Macaca mulatta: one gene and its partner. The protein of the gene in region 1 interacts with the protein of each later gene in a biochemical or structural test. Links are inferred from orthologs where the notes say so. Each region holds a gene or a part of one and is shown on either strand. Other genes may lie near its edges. The genes, in order: MXD1 and MAX.

What was found.
Region 2: the proteins of MXD1 (region 1) and MAX form a complex in vitro, tested with the Homo sapiens proteins (4 studies listed by BioGRID, with this or other methods). The link is inferred for Macaca mulatta from reciprocal best matches to the Homo sapiens genes MXD1 and MAX.

What each region holds. Positions count from the first base shown.
Region 1 is NC_133418.1:54,837,435-54,841,346, forward strand, and holds the start of MXD1 (max dimerization protein 1), read right to left. Parts: upstream 2,770-3,912; 5' UTR 2,732-2,769; coding exon 2,659-2,731; intron 1,941-2,658; coding exon 1,841-1,940; intron 1-1,840. UniProt on the Homo sapiens protein: Component of a transcriptional repressor complex together with MAX. In complex with MAX binds to the core DNA sequence 5'-CAC[GA]TG-3'. Antagonizes MYC transcriptional activity by competing with MYC for MAX binding.
Region 2 is NC_133412.1:138,175,182-138,178,600, forward strand, and holds the end of MAX (protein max), read right to left. Parts: intron 2,740-3,419; coding exon 2,616-2,739; intron 2,347-2,615; coding exon of another isoform or gene 2,180-2,346; exon of another isoform or gene 2,138-2,179; intron 2,132-2,137; coding exon of another isoform or gene 2,047-2,131; intron 1,362-2,046; coding exon 1,174-1,361; 3' UTR 689-1,173; downstream 1-688. UniProt on the Homo sapiens protein: Transcription regulator. Forms a sequence-specific DNA-binding protein complex with MYC or MAD which recognizes the core sequence 5'-CAC[GA]TG-3'. The MYC:MAX complex is a transcriptional activator, whereas the MAD:MAX complex is a repressor.

The DNA of each region.
Region 1 (3,912 bases):
ATGAAGGAAATGATCACACTGAAAGAAAACTACCTGCTCCTGCCTCACACGTGTGCCTGGTGCTACCTCTAGGTTTAATCATGGTCTCTCAGAAATCCTTACACTACTGAATATATTACACTAACTCACTAACAGTCAAGTATATGGACAACTGTGATAATCCCCTGTCTCTAACCATGGAAAGCAAACCAACCCATTAACAGAAGAATTTGTAGCCCTTTTTTTTTTTTTTTTTTTTTTTTTTGGCATAGTACTGATTCTTTCTACTAGAAAGAATCCATTTCTTGGCTTAAGATTCTTAACTACTATTATTTTTCTTTCCTAATCACCTTTTGGGACCAAACCACTTCAACATCTCATTTTTTTATCCCCACTAGTGAACATCCCCTACAACCTTCCTGTGAAACTAAGGAAAAAAATAAGGTGTTAAGGTATTAAGCCTAAATAAGTAACATGGACAATTCCTCTCAAATCATTAGTGGACAATAATAAAAGCCAAAATGGACTATGTTTTTCCAGAAAAATTAACTGAAAGGCCTCAAAATTCTTTTAAACAAATTAAAAAAAATACTGTATTAAAATGCAACACAGCTGAATTGTTTTTATACCATTGCATATTACAAGTCAGTATTAACAACCTTCTTAAAGTGCCTTCATATCCATGCACAAAACTACAGGCTACCACCTTCAGGTAATGCTAAGATTAGAGGACAAGCAAAACCCACCAAGTAATTACCAGGTTGATTCTTCATGTGCCATTTTTATTCAAGGGCATGGCACAAGTAATGCTGCTCACATCCTGTGGTTCCACCAACGATACTAATGAGGTGAACCAAGTACAGAAGACGCAGCAAGAACAAGTGATTTTTAGGTTTAAGTGGGAAATTCCTGGTCTGTATTAAGCCACAGAGAATATCAAATAGATACTTGCAAGGAGTTATTCATGAGGGTGAGGGAGGGATGAGGATTCTAAACCAGTGACGAAAAAATCAATGCTTTTAATTTACTGGCAGGAAAGGTATAGTTGAAGGGATCTAATAAAACGAATTTCCTAGCCAACTACATTTTAAGGGCAAAGAAGGGAGAAAAAGGGCAGTAACATTGATGGACTATTTACATGTACCAGAAACTATGCACAGGACTTTAATATGTGATTTAACTGACCATTAACCAAATCTCCAGTGAGATTCACAGCTTTTAAGAACTATGGTATAAGACAATCTATAAGACTAACATGGAAAGGTTGTAGCATATTAATATTTCGGTATTATATATTCCTCTATCACTAAAGAGGTAGGTTTTAACCTCAATCATTCCTCTTTGCCACTACAAATAGAGGTGACAAATTAGAGTATCAAACAAACCACTGTATTTAATTTACATGTCAAGTATGAGATCCTACCACTTATGCCAAATCAGGTACTTTAATGTGTTTATAAAATCATTACAACGAAAAGTAAAAGAAATGGATAATGTCCAGCATTTTGACTTATAGAAAACTTGCCCTGATCTGCAACTTCTGAAGGGAAAATATTGTCACCATTGCTAATCTCACTTGAAGCTTTCACAGATTTTTTTGTTCCAAAAGGGAAGAAAAGCGAAATTAAATTTTGAATAAAGTTCATAAAAAATGTAAAACATTTCTATTTTTCTTTTCAGTTCCCTCAACCCAAACAGAAACAGCTTCCTACAAGGTCTTAAGTCCATGTGTACATTACTGAATCATGACGGCCACAATGTAATTTTATAGGGTTATAATCACAACAGGCAACTTACATTCAGCAGTTTGTGTCACCTACAATATAATCTAAAAGACAGAAAGAAGTATTTACCAAATTACCTGCTACTGCTGTTATTCTTTTTGGATTTGTTCCTCCGTTTTAAGGCATCTCTGTCCTTGTTATTGTATGGTAACATGGAGGCATAACCATGTTCAGCTTCTAGAAAACAGGAGGATCCAGTTAATGAATGGGCCCAGAATATTTAATACTCTCTCCTCTCTACAGTATTTCCTTTTTCCTTTATTTATCTTTAAAAGAATATTGTGGAAATAATTAAATGGAGTAAGGTGGAATTCTGAGAACAATGATTAAAAAAAAAAAAAAAACAACAACATTGTGTGAATACCCTCAGTTCGGAGCAGGTGTAAAGAGGATTCCAGCTGCTCATTGTTGAGAAAGACACAGTAGTGGCTAAGCTCACGCAGCCTGGGTTTCCCACTGGCAACGTCCAGCAGGTTGGTGCGGGTTAAGTGGAACCAGCCTCAGGCGAAGGTGCGGGGCAAGCACCGTGAGGCGCTGCTCCTCTGCCCAGGAGACTGGGGCGCTGGACCCACCTGGGGGCCGGCCGGGACCAGCCCGGGTGAGGTAAACCAGGGAGGCTATCGGAGGCGGCCCCGGCCACCCATTCGGGAGGGACTGCGGAAGGGGCGGCGTTCGGGACCCCGGCGGGCGAAAGCCCCTTCTCCACCTGATTCATTGCTCTAGGGCAGCGGCGGCCTCCCTTCGGACCGCGCGTGGGGAGAGCCGGAGGGGTTGGGAGCGCTCGCGGTCTCCCCGCCTCCAACCACCCCCGGAGCGGCTGGGCGCCCGGACCTGAGGCCGGCCCTACAGGACCCCCGGCCTCGGTTCGAGTGGACCCCTTCCCGTCCCCGTGCACCTCTCTCTCGCCGCTCCAGATAGTCGGCCGCCTCCAGCAGCATCTGGATGTTCATCCGAACCGCCGCCGCCATTCTGCACCGGGGGCCGGAGCCACGGGACCAACCCCCACTGCCCACGGGCTCGCTGCCGCCGCCGGACCGCTATGGAGCCCGCTGTGGACACCGCGGAGCAGGGCTGAGGGAGCCTCTCTGGCAACCACGCTCGACAAGAGAGGGAGGGGGGCCAGTGAGCTGGGCACCGCCGACACCGTGACAGAACCCGGAGCAGAGCAGCAGCCGCCACCGCCGCGGAGTGTTTATCCCCGACTCACCATCTCCCCGCCCCCAGCCCCTTCTCTTGACAGGCCAGCTTCGGCCGCGTTCCTCATTGGGCCCCCCAAAGAATGCCCCGCCCCCAAACTTGTGCGATTGGGAGAGGGCTTCACGGCTCCACCCCCCAAAGTCCGCTCCTCTCGCTGGTTGGTCACGCTTGACAAGGCCCGGGCTCCACCCCCTCTTTCCAATTGGTGACAGGATTCGCAACTCCGCCTCGTGCTCCTTCCTTGTTTCCCATTGGTTCTATACCAACAACCCGGGCCCCCTTTTGCTTTGTTAGTATTGGCCAAGAGCTGTAGCAGGCAAGCACCTCGCCGGTCTCCCATTGGTGAAGCCTTCGGAAACCTCCCAGCTACGATGATGTCACCTTTCTCCAGTTCAGGCGAGCCCTAAGTGGCTGATGGTCAGCGGCCTGCCTGCTCCTCACCAGGTGTGGCATTGGCTGGGAGGGCCGGTCCGGCGCTGGGCGGCGCTGATTCACCGGCAGCCGCGGAGCTCGGCTCCACCCGGTCTCGCCTCGGACCTGTTGCCAAGACCTGTCCCCGGGGAAAACTTCCGGGGACCTGCCAGGCGTCCCTCGAATGGAAGGCTGGCACCTCGCGTCGCCTGGGCGCTCTGCGCCGCTTGGGTTCGGGGCCGGAGCCCTGGGTCTGGTGGCCGCGGCCCTGGAGGTTCTGGGCTTCGCGGAACTCCGGCTGGCGAGGGCCCAGCCGCGAATCATCCCGGAGAGCGGTGTAGGATAGTGGCCGGTGAGCCGGGAGCTCGGGCAGGCGCCACGTGGCTGCTGCGGGGCTTGAGAAGAAAAGCCTGGCGGTTGTTAAATGCTTGCCGCCTGGCGTTTTTTCTGCCCTCAAGAAAGAGCTGGAATCGGGCTCCAATATACAGCATTGAGCTCATGCGCCTTTTCCGCACCCCCTCCATCCCCGGGAAATGATGGA
Region 2 (3,419 bases), on another chromosome or scaffold:
ACAAAGAAATGAGGCCTAAACACACAAAACCCTTCACTGGGATCTGTTGACCACAGCCAGAACCAGGGCTGGATCACGCAATGGAGACAGGTTCCAGGACAGTAGGAAAGGAAGTGGGGTGAGGGCTGGGAAGGGTCCGCACTGGGGTGCGGGTTTAGTACCAGGTAAATTGCTCTTGGTATTTACATACAAAATCAGTTGGCTCTATTTCTTAGAAATACACACGGGAAGAAAGAAAGATTTCATCATTACTTTATGAATCTGTCGCTTTGCAAGACCGACATCATCAGAAATAGGTACAATTCACTCAGATTCAAATTTAAGTAGCAGGAAATAAATATCAAAACATCATCACTGGCCCTCAATACAAAACCTCTATGCCACCCAAAACACCCTCCCTGTCCCAACCCTTAAATGGCCACTCTCTGGTGGCTGCTGCTTCACTGCTGCCATCTCCCATACATACCACAAGAGTGTCACACGGCCCTCCGTGAGGCTGGCACCGCAGGCTTAAACAGCTGGCTGAGAGAAGCAGGAGTGAAACATGCCAGGGACTCTGTGCTGCGAATCTGTCCCCACTTTCTTTTTATGCCACAAACTTCTTTAAGAATCTGGTCTTTCAATAGGAGCGATACATAGCTTTTTAGAAAAAGGAAAAAAAAAAAAAAAACCCTTAAAAAGGAGGAGGGTTCATTCTGATTACTCCAAACCGGTCATCTTCTCAAAGTAGAGCAGTTCAGATTCACAAAGTCTATCAGAGGTGAGGGCGGACCAGGAGGCCGCCTGGGCAGGGCAGGCGTCCTCCAGGCATGTGCCTGGCAGGGCTGGAGGAGCTGGTAGGGTGGGCAGGACACTATGTGCTCAGAGGTCTGGCCGGCCATCTGTCCTCCACAGAAAAAGCTGCCAAGTTGGGGTGTTTTGGTTTAAAAATTCCTGGTGGGGACAGGGAATCCCTGAAGGGAATACATTAAAAAAAATATACAGTGGAAATGGGGAAGGAGAACAAGAGCTGTTGTCCAAGAGCTTCTATGTAAAAATAAAAATTAAAAAAAAAAAAGGGAGAAAGAGAAAAATAGAGTCTTTTAGATGCTTCTGAGGGTTCTACCGATGAACTGAAAGGAGGATGAGACGATGGAGACAGACAGTTTTTATTGCTGGCCTGCCCCGAGTGGCTTAGCTGGCCTCCATCCGGAGCTTCTTCCTGCTTTGGGGCTCTTCAGGCTCAGACTCCGAGCTGGAGTCCGAGCCCCCATCGAAGGCAGAGATGGTGCTGCCCTTGGCGTTGGTGTAGAGGCTGTTGTCTGAGGAGGGGTAGTTGGTCTGCAGTTGGGCACTTGACCTCGCCTTCTCCAGTGCACGGACTAAAAGGCAACCAAGGGAGTGTGTTACTGCCTTCTGGAGACTTGGGGAGTAACCGAGTCTCAGACTCAGGGTCCAGCCTGTTCTTCCTAAGGGCTTGCTTGTTGGCCCCCGAGGCTCAAGATGCTCAGAAGTACTCCCTTCGGGTGGCTGTTCACTCACACACTTCATTTCCCTCCCGCCTTTCCCAGCTGGACCTGGGAGCCAGCAGATACTCTGCAATCCCACCCAACCCCGAAGAGAAGGCTTGTGATGTCACCGTCCTGCCGTGGAAGCCCCTGCGGAGAGACTGGAGCGTGAGCTCCCTGTGGGATTTAGAAGTGCAATAACAGAGGAGAAGCTGGCCCAGGAGCATGAGGCTCCACAAGGTGTGAGGCCACGCAACAGCAGAAAAGGATGACATAAGACGTATCAGCCAAAGAACAGTTTTGGCTTAGCTCTCGTGTACAAGATCCACTTGAAATGACAAGCTGGACACTTGGAAGCAAGTCACCAATACACATAAAATACCTGGGCTTTTCCAATAGCCCCTACATGCAGGCTGCTTGGCCCAGTAACCAACCCACTGACACCACCCACTGCCCATCTCTTGGTTCAGCTCAGCTTGAGCCTGGAAGGTCAACCCATTTATTTTACTTTATTTTATTTTATTTTATTTGAGGTTTTCTAACCCAGGTGGTTACTTGCATTTCCTTTTACTTGCATCTTCCATGAGGGAGGAAGAGAAGTGAATTCCCCAGGAACAAACAACTTGATCAGCTCTTGCTTTCCCCTGTGGTTGTAGGAAAAGGCGGGTGTGAGCATTGAGAACAGCATGGGCCTAGCCCACAGGCTGCCCCGATTGGACTACCATTGACAATGGGGAGGGCTCACTGTCCCTGAACACCTGGAGTCTCTGGTACTTACATAGCACATTCCACTCCAAGGACCTCAAAGCTCTTTTCAGACACCTGATGCCAGGTGTGATCCCTACTGCAGGCAGAGCACCTGAGCCCCAAGAAGGGGAGAGGTCAGGCCAGAAAAGGTACAAGTCTCCAGATGTCCAACTTCCTAGCTTCCACTGTCTCCTCACTAGCATCTCAGGTCCTTCCTCAGGACGGCTCTAACACTCAGCTACTCAGGCCCCAAGAAGCAGGACCAAGCCTGCTTCTGAGCACACACTCCATGACTGGCTCTGACTCTGCAGGCCTAGGTGCCAAAGCCTGACCCAGCCAGAGCACAGCAGGGCCAGCTGCCCCACGAGCTTGGGTGCTCACCTTGCTGCTCCAGAAGAGCATTCTGCCGCTTGAGGTCGTCAATATCTTGCTGGTGTGTGTGGTTTTTCCTTCGCATATACTGGATATACTCTGTGGCTTTGTCTAGGATTTGGGCCCGGGATGCCTGTGGCAATATGAGAAAAAGCACAGGGGACAAAATAAAAACCGAATCCAGGCAGTGAGGGAACCCGGCCTGCAGCAACTGCCTGGGTGGCTAGAATCAAGAGGATAAGGTGGGAAAAGGCTGAAGAAATACAGTAATGGCTACTGTAGGCCTTCTTTTTTTGTTGTATTTTTTTTTTTTGAGACGGAGTTTCTTTCTTGTTGCCCAGGCTGGAGTGCAATGGCATGATCTTGGCTCACTGCAACCTCCGTCTCCCAGGTTCAAGTGATTCTCCTGCCTCAGCCTCCTGAGTAGCTAGGATTACAGGCATGCGCCACCACCCCCGGCTAATATTTTTGTATTTTTAGTAGAAATGGGGTTTCACCATGTTAGCTAGGCTGGTCTCGAACTCCTGGCCTCAGGTGATCCCACCTTGGCCTCCCAAAGTGCTGGGATTACAGGTTACCCCATGCCCAGCCAGTTTTTTTTTTTTTTTTTTTTGGAGATGTAGTCTTGCTCTGTTGCCCAGGCTGGAGTAGAGTGGTGTGATCTCAGCTCACTGCAACATCCACCTCCCGGGTTCAAGTGATTCTTCTGCCTCAGCCTCCAGAGTAGCTGGGTACAGATGCATGCCATGTTGCCTGGTTAATTTTTATATTTTTAGTAAAGATGGGGTTTCACCATGTTGGCCAGACTGGTCT